Pelodiscus sinensis: one gene and its partner. The protein of the gene in region 1 purifies or fractionates together with the protein of each later gene. This does not show direct contact. Links are inferred from orthologs where the notes say so. Each region holds a gene or a part of one and is shown in the gene's direction. Other genes may lie near its edges.

Region 1 (7,792 bases):
TTAAAAAAAAATTCTGAAAGAATGGATGTGCTTTTTCGCCATCCTTGTAAACCTCATTCTACAAGGAATAAGGGATGGCTCAAAAGAACACTTTTTTTCTAAATTTGGCTCCATGTAAATGTGCCAAATTTCGAAAAAGCCTCTTTTAAAATTAAACAGAAAAAAGACACACAATCTAGAGGTAGCCCCGGTTTCACCACTAACCCATCTAAATATGCAATATTGGTAGTGGAAACCAAATACGATCTTGGGGAGAGGTATAGTGAAACTGAACAAGTTAGAGGCAATACAAAGTTGGCCTTGACCATTCAGGAAGAAAGAGGTGAGAACGTTTCTGGGGATAATAGGATACTTATTGCAGGTCATTCATTCACCACTTTGCCACCAGGGCATGCTCTCTGATCAATCTCAAAAAGGCTAGAGACTCAGATAGAGTGTACATTAGTAGAAAACGCTTTCCCTGAGAACAAAAGTATGGCATGTTGGAGAAGGCTATCTTAGGATAAAGTGGGTCATGGAAATTCTGTGGAACTACCTGCTCGGATAGATATTTACCCTCATTACAGACCATTCTGCCCTGAAGTGCAGGCGCTAGAACAAATTTAAAAAATGGAAGAGAAACAAAATGGGTCTGTTGTGACAACCTCCCACATCAAGGTGCGGCAGGACAGGAATCAGGCAGAGCAATGCTGATAGCCTGCCAGAAGTATGCTGTTTCCTGGTCCATGCAGCCCATAATATTGAGCCAGAGCACAGGGGTAGGGGTCAAGATGTGACAAACTCAGGCCAGTTGTAAGTGAACGCAGGTGTATCTGTCCTACAATGGTCACGGCCCTTCCCCCTGTGAATTGAAAAGAGGTTACTTCAGGTTAATTAGAGACACCTGACTCCAGTTCAGGGCCACCTTTAATAAACCCTCTTCTGGTGCTAGAGGGAGCAGATGGAGAAAAAACCCCACAAGTGACAAGAGGGATGGAGTAGCAGGGAGAAAAGGTGGAGGGCTGTTCCTCTATAGGGAGGAGAAATATACTCCAACCACATACCTCTGCCAGAGGCTGACATGGCCACAGAGGAGCCTGATCACAGCACCCAAAATCAGAGGCCACTTGGGCAAGTGCGGCTGTTAACTTCAGTTTGGCCCAGGCCTTATGTTAACTCACATTCCAGGGAGCTGAGTCCTCCCTCCTTTTCTCCCTCCCTTCACTTCACTTCCCCCATCCCCACAGCAGCAGCAGGAAAGGTTGGCGGAGTGGGGCTATTTTTGGGAGCATCTCCCTAGCAACGGCTGCCACCACCGTCTGTGGTGGTTTTTCCATAGGTGCTAAAATATTCTATGCTGCTTATTAAAGAAAGTGGCTAGGGGAGAGCGGCGGGGATGGAGAGAGTTAGCCATCTACTCCCTCACCCAGCAGTTTGCAGCTGGCAATGCGGGGTACAGCTGACCCTGGCTGAAGAGGGTGAGAGAGAAACAGGTGTATTTATATGAAGATGGTCTCCATTGTGGGTCAGTGAAGTTTGCTATAGGAAACACACACACACACACAACAGCCCCTGCTGGCAATGGTCCACCAGTCCTGCCATGCTATATCTGTAGAGGAGGCACAATCAGCTGCTTGTTTGGGAGATGAGGGGGAAGAGTTGGTGCTTCATGTCTTGTCCTTTCTTTACTCACTGTTCCTCACTGTGGCCGAGGTCAGATTGGCAATGACAGCATTTTGGGGGGAGTCGTGCCCAGGGAAGGGGAGAACAACGTGTCACAGAGAACTCATCTTTTCCCCCCTTAAAAATAAGAATATTGCTTTCTCAGTCTATTGGAATTTTTTGTCAGGCCCCCATCACTGTAGGAGCTGAGCACCTGATGAGTGCTAAAGGTTTTATCCTCTTACCCCCTCCCGAGAGTCTGGGAAGAATTGTCCTCATATTAGAAATGGGATATTGAGACACAGCGAGGTGAAGTGACTTGCCTGAGGTGACACAGGGAATTTGTGGCAGAGCCAAGAGCTCCTGAATCTTGTTCCAGTTCACACCCATCCAGCATTCCTGGCTGTGAAAGTAGCATATGTAGAGTTATGAGTGAAGACAGGGTCTGATCATCGAAATAATTCATGTGTTCAGTGCCTTTAGCGCTGAAGGTTCCCAAAGTACTTTATCACCTATGCTGGAACCCCTGAAGCAGAGCTGCCTTGACAGTGCACCACAACACACTTTTCAGAAGTCAGGAAACAACCATCTATGACTGAAGCTACAGAGGGGCTATTAGGCAGCAAGAGTTCAAATACCCAAACAGGAGTTGGACTATCATCATCAACAACTAGCAGGGGCTCAATGCCCATTGGTGTCCGATGCCTCCCTCACTATTTCCTTCCATCTTTCCCTGTCCAGTGCGAGTGGCTCAGGGTATGTCTACACTACATGGCTCCGTCGACGGAACCACGTAGAAGAGCTTTGTAGACATAGCAAAATGAAGTGGCGATTTAAATAATCGCCACTTCATTTACATCAAAATGGCTGCCGCGCTGTGCCCATCAGCTGTTTATCGGCACAGCACGGTAGTCTGGACGCTCCACAGTCAATATCAAAAACCTTTGTCGACCGCCCCATTATGCCTCGTGGGATGAGGTTTACCGGGGCGGTCGACAAAGGCTTTTGATGTTGACTGCGGAGCGTCCAGACTACCACGCTGTGCCGACAAATAGCTGATCGGCACAACGCGGCAGCCATTTTGATGTAAATGAAGCGGCGATTATTTAAATAGCCGCTTCATTTTTCTATGTCTACAAAGCTCTTCTACGTGGCTCCGTCGATGGAGCCATGTAGTGTAGACATACCCTGCGTTTCTGTATGACAGCACCTATAGCTCTTAGGGAAAGAGTTATGGGGCATTTATGGCTACAAATAATGGTTTAACAGTATGGCTATGTCTAGACTACAGGCTTCTTTCAGAAGTAGCTTTTCTGGAAGAGATCTTCCAAAAAAACTTCTTCTGAAAGAGACCGTCCACACTGCAAAAGTGCATCGAAAAAGCCATCTGCTTTTTTGAAACAGAGCGTCCAGACTGAATGGACACTCTCTCACATGTAAGCTGTGATTGCTATGGGCGGAATGGCCACCAGGGCATCTGTGCTTTTTGCTCTTTCCTCTTCTTCTGAAAGAATTCCCTCTTCCCCGTCCACAGACACCTTTTTCCAAAAGAGCTCTTTCACAAAAAGGCTTCTTCCTTGTAGAAAGAGGTTTACCAATGTCAGAAAAACCCCTCTGTTCTTTTGATTTTTTTCGAAAGAACGCAACTGCAGTGTGGATGTAAGTGAAGTTTTTTTTCAGAAAAATGTCTGTTTTTCCAAAAAAACTCTGCAGTGCAGACATAGCCAATAATGTCTCATTAGAGGGCTCTCAGCTCTCTGCTGGTACGAATTCAGTACTGACTCAGAGGGAAGAGCACGCCTCCCGACTCACAGATGCCAGCTCCTGGATCACTTGACCTGCCCTGGAGGTCTCCCATGCCAGGGCTAAGCAAACTGTGCTCTGGGGAGCCCTTGCGGGTGGTCTGCCAAGAGCAAGCTGGTTGCAGGATGCTGGCTCTTCTCCTTGGCAGTTGTGAAACTGCACAGAAAGAAGCTAAAAACACATCTTTCCCTATATTGCTGTGCCATGGAAATGTTTGCTGTGGCTGCCACGGGGATGGTGTTTGATTGCCAGTGGGAGGAGAGGTGGTATCACGCATGGGAGGAGAGGTGGCCTCAAGGCCATGTTTGATGATTAGGATGTGAGCCATGTTCTGAAAGGGTCTAGAAACCTGTGGATGAGGAAATCCATTGAACCCATAATTGCCCAATGATTGGTCCTGAAACCCAAAGGTCAGGCACCTAAGGAATAGCTGAAGGGAGAGCCCTGTTACCTGTACCTTGTTCTAATTGCACCCCCTGTGCTTTCCTCTGACAAAGAAGCCCCTGTTCCTGCTAGAGGAGCAGCCCTGTGAACAATAGTCAGTCACTGCTGAGAGGTGAGACCCAGAGCGTGTTTTCCTGGCTGAATCTTTCAGCAGGTGAGGAACATGAAGAGCACAGCAGGCTCTGAAATAATGCCACAGGGAACCTCAGAAGGCCCACAGGGAAGGACCCTGGAAAGATCCTCTTTGTAAATCTATAGTAGAATCACCCAGTCCTGGGAACTGCTTCAAATCCAGTGACAAGCAAAAACAGCGATGACACACGGCACCGTTGGAGAAAGTTCTGGAAGAGTGCGCTAGCGGGTGAATTAGAGGGAGATCAGATCCCTGGAGTGGATGCTCGGTGCCGCATCTGGGAAGAAGGAAAAAAAGGACCTGGATTTCTATGCTTTCTGGTACAGAATATGTGGCAAGCCTCTGCAGGCCACTGTGCTCCATGCAAACATGCCTGGGGCATCTGAGCGCCAGCTGCATGTGTTCCCATTCCCGTTTCCATTGCTTTGGGTTGCACTTTCAGCTCTCCCCATCTCTGCCTCTGCAGGGTGTATCCAAGGCTCTGAGATCACATGTGAGGATGGGCTAAAGTAGCAGAAAGCTGTTGGATTCTACCAGAGAGTTACTGACTTCTTAGCTACCGACTGCACAGCAATCGGAGAGAGAGCGAGAGAAAGTGAGAGGGAGGAAGGAGAGTGGAGAAAAAGGCGATAGAGGGATGGTAAAATAGAGACAAACTGAGGGGGGGGGGGGGGGCGGGATGAGGTGGAGAGGCGGGGAAAGAGACAACCAGACAAAAAAAGAGAAAGAGGGAGATAAACAGACAGAAGGGAGAAATCGGTCCAATAAGTCATTGCTCAGCTGCAGAGAAATAAAGCTCATGAAGGATGGAAATTCCTCAAAGCAAAAAATGCTAAAAAGAAAGAGGGAGATACAAAGTGCAGGAAAGGGAAGGCAATAGAGATGAAGGAAAGTTAGAGCACGGCAGAGGGAATTCTTAGGAGGAAAAAGTAGCTACTTGAAAAACAGACAGGAGAAGAGACAGAAAGCAAGACTAAAAGGAGAGAGACCCCTGGATTTCTTAAATCCAGGCTCAGGTTTCATGGTGGGATGGAGAAATCTCCCTCTTTTCCCGTCCCCTGACTTTTGGCTTTCCAGGACTCAAACAGGGAATAACACAGAACCTGGGTAAGAAATTATTATGGTTATTAGCCTCATTATAATTTTTCTTGGATGTTTGTTATGATGATTATGCATAATTACATAAGAATTATCTATGAAAATATATATAATACATATAACTATGTGTGTATATATACATGTATATATGGCTGCATATATGTGCGTGTGGGTATGTGCATATGTAAATATGTATATATATAAAAACTGTGAGAGTGTATATATAAAATAAAGTGTAAATGTGTGTGTGTGTGTGTGTGTGTGTGTATATATATATATATATATAAAAAGTATATGTATTTAAAGATATACATATATACACATGCAAACACATGTGCAAGTATATGTATATATACAGATATATAGTTAAAGCTCCTTAACTTTCCCTCCTTTTTTTGACCTGGAATGTCAACTTTGGTTATGTTTATTTGACTTTTTATTGTTAGCCACAAATAATTTGTTGGCTGCTCCCGTTTACAAGGGGATTGTTTTCCCTACATCTCTTGCCCCCCAATTGCTGGCACCCTTCACGTCTTGTGTGCCTTTCTAACCCATTTCCCTAATACAGCCTGAAGATGTTGAGGTGCTGGATTCCTTGGGCATGTGCTCAAAGACTCGGGCACATCAGGGTTGAAACAAACATGCTGGTTCGCTCTCTGTGAAGATTGTCCGAATTGATAATCGATATTCCCACAGTCCTCTGTCCAGCCTCTTCTAGGTCACTGATTGTCTGTGTTGCTGATCTGATTGGCAGAAATGAAGCCCCAGAAAGCAGTGTTTAAAGCAGCTTCAAACTCTTGAGTTTCTTTGAAGCTGAGGAAGCAGCGAACAAAATACCGGGGAAAGTCTCTGCCCAATCTAATCTCTGTCTCTCTTTGTGTGCACCCATCACTACAGTGTGTTTTGTCAGCAAGTGTGGGTGGACCAGACATGTTTCATGTGAACTCCTGCTGCCACCTCCTGCCCTGGGGGTCCCTCCTGTTTATATTGGACAACACATTCTCCGCAGTGGGCAAATTCCAGAGGAGGTCCTTCTGCTAGGGACCAGAGTCCATTACCATATTCCATTATACACATTGGAGAGGGTCCAGTGGAGGGCAACCAAAATGATTAGGGGGTTGGAGCACATGACCTACGAGGAGAGACTGAGGGGTTTGGGCTTATTTAGTCTGCAGAAGAGAAGAGTGAGGGGGGATTTGATAGCAGCCTTCAACTTCCTGAAGGGAGGTTCCAAAGAGGATGGAGAGAGGCTGTTCATAGTAGTGACGGATGGCAGAGCAAGGAGCAATGGTCTCAAGTTACAGTGGGGGAGGTCTAGGTTGGATATTAGGAAAAACTATTTCCCTAGGAGGGTGGTGAAGCACTGGAATGGGTTACCTAGGGAGGTGGTGGAATCTCCATCCCTAGAGGTGTTTAAGTCTCAGCTTGACAAAGCCCTGGCTGGGTTGATTTAGTTGGGATTGGTCCTGCCTTGGGCAGGGCGCTGGACTTGATGACCTCCTGAGGGCTCTTCCAGCCCTAGGATTCTATGATTACCAGACTCCATCCCTGCAAATCTGTGGATAGCCACAACTCATTTTTTTACGGATATAGATGCAGATACAAATTTTGTATCCATGCAGGGTTCTGTCCATCCATTCCCCACATCACTTGGCGGAAGTAGGAGGTGACAGCCATGGCTTGATGTCCCAGTTAGAGGATTCTATTTTAGCATATTCAGGAAGCATTGGTGATGAATGACCCAAATGGCTAGTAGAAGAGACGTCTATCTAAGGGCTGGTCTATGCACTGTTTTTGTGCTGCAGTATCTACGGAGAAACTGATGTAATTAGATCATTGCAACACCCTCCACCCAGCATGGGTACAATTATCATGGTGTAAAGGTGCTTACATTGGTATAGCTCATTCCTGGCCATTTACCAAAGCAAGACACTTTTATACTGGTGCAGCTGCATCCACACTAGGGTTGTATTGACTGAACAGTCAGATATAGCAGCACAAAAACTGTGCCTCTCTATCCTGATGGAGCCCAGTCCCACTGGATTTATTTAGCTGAGCAGCCTCACTGACGTCAATGAGATGATATTGACTTCAGTGTGCACAGAGAGCAGGATTTGGTCCGAAATGTATTTGAATGGGTGACATGTGACAAAGAAAGCCACCCCCTTCCAATCCATAGGGAGCAGTGCTAACATGGGCGCTAAAATGGATGGGCCCCCGATGAAGTGCCCTGGCCTTGCTGGGAGGTTGGAAAGAGAATAGCTTTCCTCTTTACCTGCTATTTTCTAAGGTGTAAAGCAGATGGGACTGGGTATATGAATTTACCTTTGGGATTTTCTCTTGAAATCCCATTGAGCAATTTTTGTTCACATGATTAAAAGTGGATTATGCTATCACCCTCTCAAACGGGCAGCAGGCTATGAGAGGAAGGTGGCAATCTATGATGAAGTCCCTGTCACTGGAGGTGTTTTCACACCAGTCTGGACAAACACCTGTCAGGGATATTCTAGTTGTCTCAATGCAGGAGGCTGGCCCCAATGACCTCTTCACCCCTTTCCAGCCCTACAGCTCTAGGATTCTATGGATGTCAAAACTGGTGTTCCATATGGTCAGGTGAGGAAGGGCCAACAGCTGAAAGAGACCAGACCCAGCAGGTGTGACACCCAACTTGTG
Region 2 (7,013 bases), on another chromosome or scaffold:
CAGTGTTTCTCAACCTTTTATAAAGTACCCCTTTAAAAAAATACCCCCATTACCTACAGTTTTCAGACACACACAATTTTTTTCTACTGTTGCAACACATTTGTTTAAACAACTTAACCGTAGCCAGGCGGGCGATGAAATTTCTGGGTGTAAAACATACAGAAATAATAAAGCACTGTAAAACTTAAAAAGAAAAATTCAGTTTTCTCCAAGTTTCAATTGTGTTGACGTACCCCCCAGGCTTCTCTCGAGTACCCCTAAGGGTATTTGTACCACTGGTTGAGAAACACTGATCTGGTCCAGTCTCCTGCATTTATGGTAGGACCAAGCACAATCTAGGCCATCCCTGACAGGTGTGTGTCTAACCTGCTCTTAAAAACCACCAATGATGGAGATTTCGCAACCTCTGGTGGCAATTTATTCCAGTGCTTAACCAATCTGACAGGAAGTTTTTCTTAACATCCAACCTAAACCTCCCTTGCTGCAATTTAAGCCCATTGCTCCTTGTCCTATCATCAGATGTTGAGAACAATTTTTCTCCCTCCTTCTTGTAACAACCTTTTATGGACTTGAAAACTGTTATCATGTCCTCTCTCTATCTTCTCTTCTCCAGACTAATCAAATCCAAATTTGTTCATCTTCCCTCATAGTCAGTGTTCCCTTCAGGTGACTCAGTCAGCTCCATGCACTGAGCCCTGGGCCTCTGACTAGGCAGGGTTGATTAATCACCTGTTAAACTGGGCTGCTGCACAGCTTAGAGGGAACACTGTTCATAGGTTATGTTTTGTTGATCTTTCATCATTTTTGTTCTTCTCCAGTGTTTCTCCAATTTCTCCACATCATTCCTGAAATGTGGTGCCCAGAACTGGACACAATACTCCAACTGAGGCCTAATCAGTGCAGAGTAGTGCGGAAAAATGACTTCTCGTGTCTTGCTTAGGGTTGCCAGATGGTTTCAACAGAAATACCGGACACACTTGTCATTACATCACAATCTACATTACATCTTATTTAGAAAATACCGGACATTTATATTTTCTCATTTCTATGTTCTCAATTTGTTTCCAAACAGAGAGCTCAAATACTGGACTGTCTGGTTGAAAACTGGACACCTGGCAACTCTAGTCTTGCTCACAACACTCCTGTTAGTGCATCCCAGAATCATGTTTGCTCTCTCTCTCTCTCTCTCTCTCTCTCTCTCTTTTAAAGCAACACGGTCATACTGTTGACATATTTAGCTTATGGTTCATTATGGCCCCAAGATCCCTTTCCACAGTGCTCCTTCCAAATCAATCATTTCCCATTCTGTATGTGTGCAACTGATTGTTCCTAAGTGGAACACTTTGCATTTGCCTTTACTGAATTTCATCCTAGTTACCTGGGACAATTTCTCTAGTTTGTCCAGAATCCAGATCATTTTGAGTTTTAATCCTTGCAACCCCTCCCAGATGGAATTATCCACAAAGTTTTTGTCTTCTCTGTGCCATTATTTAAATCATGGATTAAGTTACTGAACAGAACTGGACTCAGAACTGCTCCCTGTAGAACCCCACTTGTTATGCCTTTCCAGTGTGACCATGACCCATTGATAACTTCTCTCAGGGATCAGTTTTGCAAACAGTTCTTCATCCACTTTCTATTAGCTTGTATTTTCCTCATTTGTTTATGAGACAGTCATGTAAGATGGTATCAAAAGCCTTACTAAAGTCAAGATAGGCCATATAGACCACTTCCCCCATTGCAGGATTATGATTTCTTGATTCTGGCATGGTAGCTTTGGAAATTTCACACACCAGGGCTCAGTTGCGCTAGGAGCTGTACGTGGCAATGTTGTGTTAACTCGCTGATTACAGGAGGAAATTGCCTGTCGTCACTGTGTATGTGGACACTACTTGGAAATTCTTCTGCTTTGGAAGTGAATTGTACTAATCCAAATAATGGAAATGTTGTCCATATGGGCAGGTTTTAGTCCAGATTAAATTCAAACCTTCTGATAATCCATATTATTTTCTCATTTTTTGTTAATATGGGTTAATTCCCCAGTTGCTGTTGATCCAGATTCACTCCACACTTTCCATTAATCTGGATTAAATTCCACTCTTCCTTTAATCTGCATTCAGTTATGACATTCTGAACGATTCAGTATCCACTTTCTGTTCATATGGATTCAATTCCCACCCACTGATAATTAGATCTCATTTATCATCATTTAATAATCCAGATTAAGGCCCCACAATCAGTTAATCTGGAGTCATCTCCCACTCTCTATTAATCTGGATTTACTTCCACCTTTCCATTCATATGGATTCAATTCCCACCTGCTCATAATTTGAATTAAATTCCCACCTTCCATGAATCCAGAGTAAATGTCTAATGTCCGTTCATTTGGAATAAATACTTATTTCCAGTAATCTGGATTTCTTTCCCACCTTTTACTAATCTGGATTAATTTTTCATTAATTTAATGAATTAATTGATATAGCCAGTTAACAAAATAGATTCTTTTGGCTACCCCCCTCTTTAAGGGACCAAACAGACGTAATTGTGGATTAGACTGGTGAATTTAGTAGGGGGGAAGGAGAAGTGGTGAGCAGCCCTAAACCAAGGTGTAGTTTTGTTTCCCTGAAGTGGCTCCATCATGCATTAGGTCAGGACTACTCAACACGTGCCCATGGGTGGAATCCTTTGAACATGGCCTCCATTGGGAACATGCTCCATAATGGCAAGTCAATAATAACGGTCGTCAGTTGATATGCGTTCAGTAGTTAAATTCCTAGACTGTCATTGCTCATTAAAAATGTTGTCATATGGATGGAAATTGGGTAACTATTGCATTTGATTAATACAGCAGAACTGACTTAAATGGGGACTGCATGTTGTGTAATTTTGCCTTAATCTTTGTATTCATGCTCATCAGTGTGAAATAAGATATTTGCATATATTTGCATATAAATTTGCATGTATATGTAACCACACTTAAATTGTGGCCCTCCAAAGTTGAGTAGCCCTGCATTAGGTGGTCTCTGTTGGTGGAATAGTTTCTTTGGCTCAGGTTCTAGGGAATGGTGATGATGGACTCAAAGGTTGCTGGTTTTTAAAAGGCTTGCATTTAATCTGAATTAAGACATGCCTGTGTGGACAACATTCCCATTAATTCGGATTAGTGCAATTCACTTCCAAAGCAGAAGAATTTCCAAAGAGTGTCCACATAGACGGTGACAGCTGGCAATTTCCTTCTGTAATCAGGGAATTAACTCACCATTGCCATGTACAGCTAATTCTATGGCCGGAGAGAACTGGGAGAGGACCCCACACTTTGGGGCATAGTATGGTGCCATGATCAGCACCCATCGGTTCTCAACTGTGGGGGCATAGCATCAGATGGAGCAGGCATCCTTAGATGCAACTCCAGGAGCCTGCTTCTTGGAGGTGTTGTGTGCCCTACTCCGCGGAAGGAGGGATGTGTTGGGAGGGGTCTGTGCATGTGTTGTGTGTGGGAGTATCTCAGGGTGGCGGTATATTGTGTTGGGCTTTGTGTGTGCAGGTGTGTATACCTGGGCCCGAGTTAGCGTGTGGGCATCTGGAGCCTTCCTGGCACCTAAATATTTGGGATTCCCCTTAAAATTGCCCCTTACCCTGGAGTCCATATGGATGGGAGCCGGTGCCCCCTAGAGGGGAAAGGCTCTATGCCTCATTCCCTGCCCTCCTGCCCCAGCCAGTCCCTGCCCTGGGGCCAGGTGGGAGCCGCTGCCCACTACAGAGGAAAGAAGTGAGGGGAGAAGTGAAATGGGGAGGAAAGGAGAGGAGGCAGGAGGAAGCAAGGGGAGGGATGGAGCAGCAGGGGGAGGAGTTGGAGGCAAGGGGAGAGAAAGCAGCGGGAGGGGGAGCGATGGAGCTGAAGGAGGGGCGGGAGGAGGAGGAGGAAGGAGGAGGGATGGAGCAGGAGGGGAGGGGAGAGACGGAGGAAGGAGGGGGCAGCCGGACGGCCGGACGGAGGGGGCGAAGATCACTCCAAGGACGCGGCGTCCCGGCTGGCAGGAGGGTTCGAGGCCGGTGGCCGGAGGAGGGATGCGGGGGGGGCCCACCCCCCGCACGGGCGTGGGGGGGAGGGGGCGATAGGGGGCGCTGGGGAGAGCCATGGGGCTGAACGGCGTGTCCCCCCCCTTCAGGAAGCTGGGCTGCTTCCCCCCCGTCATGTGCCAGTGCAAAGTGATTTGCAGCAACCGGACCCTGTCCCTGATGTTCGGGTGCAAGGTACCGCGGGGGGGCGGTTAGACCCAGTGTCGGGGAGGGGGAGGGTGCGGGGGGATTCGTAGCTGGGGGTGAGCTGATGGGAGAGCGGTGGGGGCAATGTGAGGTGACACATGGCCCCGGGGAGATGTGCTGACACCGCCATTCTGATCCGGTGGGTTCGGGGTCTGGTTCTGGCGTGGCCCGGTGCAGCCCAGGGGTCTGGCGTTGGTCCGCTTGGCACAGACGGATCCAGTACTGATTGGGCAAGGGCCTGGCATGTCCTGGGCTCGGTTCTGGTACCAGCTGGGCAGCGAGTCTGGCTGGGTCTCTGGTACCGGCTGAGGTGGGTCTGGTGCTGGGATGGGAGCGGGGCTGCAGGACCTGTGGGACAGAGGAAGGGGGCTATAGGGCTCGGAGAGCAGGGTGGGTCTGGAGGGGTCTGTGGGGCTGGTTTTGGAGGTTTTGTGGGGCTGAGTTAGGGACAAGTCGTTATGCAGGAGAGGGAACTGGCTTGGGGGCTAGAAAGGTCTGTAGGGCTGGGTTAGGAGTCTCTGGGGGCTGGAGGACTCAGTGGGGCAGGGTTGGGGTCTGTGGTGGTTGGAGGCTTCTGGGGGGCTGGCTTAGGGGGCAGGGCAGTTTCCAAGCCCTGTTCAGTCTCAGCTGTCCTTAGGCTGTCCTGGAGGCCCGCACACTGGGGATTAGGGGAATTAATCTGCTGAGACCAGTGAAGCTGGGTGGAGAACGACAGAGGGCAGCTCAGCCGTGGGGGGCGGGGAAACTACTCACCATCCCCAATCAGAGCCCCCCAGCTCTGCCTGTGCCCCTCATGCCAGACCTGCAGCCCCCCCTTCTCCTTCTACAGGCTGTCCCCTTCTCCAACTGATCTGGCAGCAGATCAAAGATGGAAGAGTGTGAAGGAAGGGGAGCAGCTCATCGGTAGCATGTGCATTGGGGATATTATGAGGTCTAGTGGTTAGAGCAGGGGGGCTCGGAGCCAAGACTTCCTGGCTTTGGGAGGGAAGGGAGTCTGGGGAGGGGAGGGTCAGGACCTTTAAGTCCAATTCCTGGTTCTGTCCTGACCTGCTGCGTGCGCTTTGACAGTTTTCCCCTCCAGTCCTTTGTGTGGTTAAACTGTTACTTACTTTGTGTGGTGCCTGACCCAAGGGACCGTGAACTGGGAATATGGATGAACTCAATAGCCCTGAAGAGTCAAAGGTGTTAACATGACCCCAAAACTGTCCACCACGCAGTTGCAAAGAAGGTTTAGGGGGGGCCTGGAGACCCCAGACTATGTATTCTCAAGGCAAATGCCCTTTATTCATGATCTCAGAAAGCAGTTGAAAAACTGGCAATGTGGAGCATTAAGTAAGGTTTTAATTTTACCGACATCCCATGTTCCCTGTCCCTTTAGCCGGACAAATCTCTTGTCCGACTGTCTTTTAGCTGGGATTAAAGATGGTAATAACTGCCCTTTTGGAGGGAAGTGCAGAAGATAGAGCTGGGCTGGCACTGTTGCTGCTGCTGTTACAGTCCAATCTCATTTCCTGTGAGATCAAAACAAGACAAAGACACACAGGAGGGTGGGGGGAAAGTCAGCAAAGAGAGAAAATGTTTCTTGCTTGTAGCCGGAATTAAACAAACAAAAGGCAGCATTTCTTCACACAGCACAGTCAACCTATAGAACTCCTTGCCAGAGGATGCTGTGAAGACCAAGGCTATAAAAGGGTTAAAAAAAGAACTAGATACATTCATGGATATAGGTCCATCAATGGCTATTTATCAAGACAAGCAGAGATGATGTTCCTAGTCTCTGTTTGCCAGAAAGTGGAAATGGGCGACAGGATTGGGATCATTGGGTGATTACTAGCGTTCTCTGTAAGATGAGCACTTGGATGGCCACCCAGGAGAGATTCAAATGTTGTCCTATTAATCAGCAAAGTGCCCACAACTGGCAGCATGTGTTTCTACTGGTCGTGCACATCCGCACATATCTTGGGAGCACATAACAAAAGGTATTCTACACATGGATGAAAAAAATAAGAGGGAACATCGGTGATTCCTTGTTCTGTTCATTCCCTCTGACTCATCTGGCATTGGCCACAGTTGGAAGACAGAATACTTGGCTAGATCAGTGGTGCACAACCTGTGGGTTGTGACCTCCAAGGGGGTCGCAGCTGTCTTCCTGGGGGATCTCAGCGCTTTGATTCGGCTGGCCGGGGGCTGGGCCCGGCTGTTGGCAGCCACATGGCGCAGCACTTTGATCTGGCTGGCTGGGAGCTGGGCCTGGCTGTTGGCGGCCCCTGCAGCGCGGGGGTTGCAAATGAAAAAAGGTTACACACCACTGGGCTAGATGGACCTTTGATCTGACTGAGACTGTCCATTCTTATGTTACAGGCCCAGCTGGTCACTCTGAAACCCTGTCAAGCTTGTGCAAGGGTTGGGCTGGTTAGGACCATGCTGCCAGTGGCAGCTTAGAACAGAATTGCCAAGTGTACATTCTTGGCCCGTTGAGCCAGACTCTGATTAGACAGATGGCAAAAGGAGAGGAGGAGGAAAAAGAAGAAATAAGGTGGGAAAGGAAAGGGACACACGAGCTGGGAGGAGGGCAAAAAAGTTTCACAGACCCAGTTTTTCGGGAGTCAACCAGAGCCGGTGGAGGTGGTGATGGTAGCTGGATCCATCTCTTGGCCCAGTTGCATCAGAACAGTTCAGGATCAGAGTGATGTGTTGGCAGTTTCTCTCGGATGCCCTTTGCCTTGAGTGGTAGTCTGGGGAGCAGA

The links. The genes of interacting proteins can lie anywhere in the genome.
Region 2: the proteins of inward rectifier potassium channel 4 (region 1) and DLG4 purify together in Homo sapiens (affinity purification with western blotting, with the first as the bait; 3 studies listed by BioGRID). This does not show direct contact. The link is inferred for Pelodiscus sinensis from reciprocal best matches to the Homo sapiens genes KCNJ4 and DLG4.

What each region holds. Positions count from the first base shown.
Region 1 is NC_134711.1:91,788,295-91,796,086, forward strand, and holds the start of inward rectifier potassium channel 4, read left to right. Parts: upstream 1-4,737; 5' UTR 4,738-5,128; intron 5,129-7,792. UniProt on the Homo sapiens protein: Inward rectifier potassium channels are characterized by a greater tendency to allow potassium to flow into the cell rather than out of it.
Region 2 is NC_134734.1:9,523,828-9,530,840, reverse strand, and holds the start of DLG4 (disks large homolog 4), read left to right. Parts: upstream 1-4,005; 5' UTR 4,006-4,137; coding exon 4,138-4,254; intron 4,255-7,013. UniProt on the Homo sapiens protein: Postsynaptic scaffolding protein that plays a critical role in synaptogenesis and synaptic plasticity by providing a platform for the postsynaptic clustering of crucial synaptic proteins.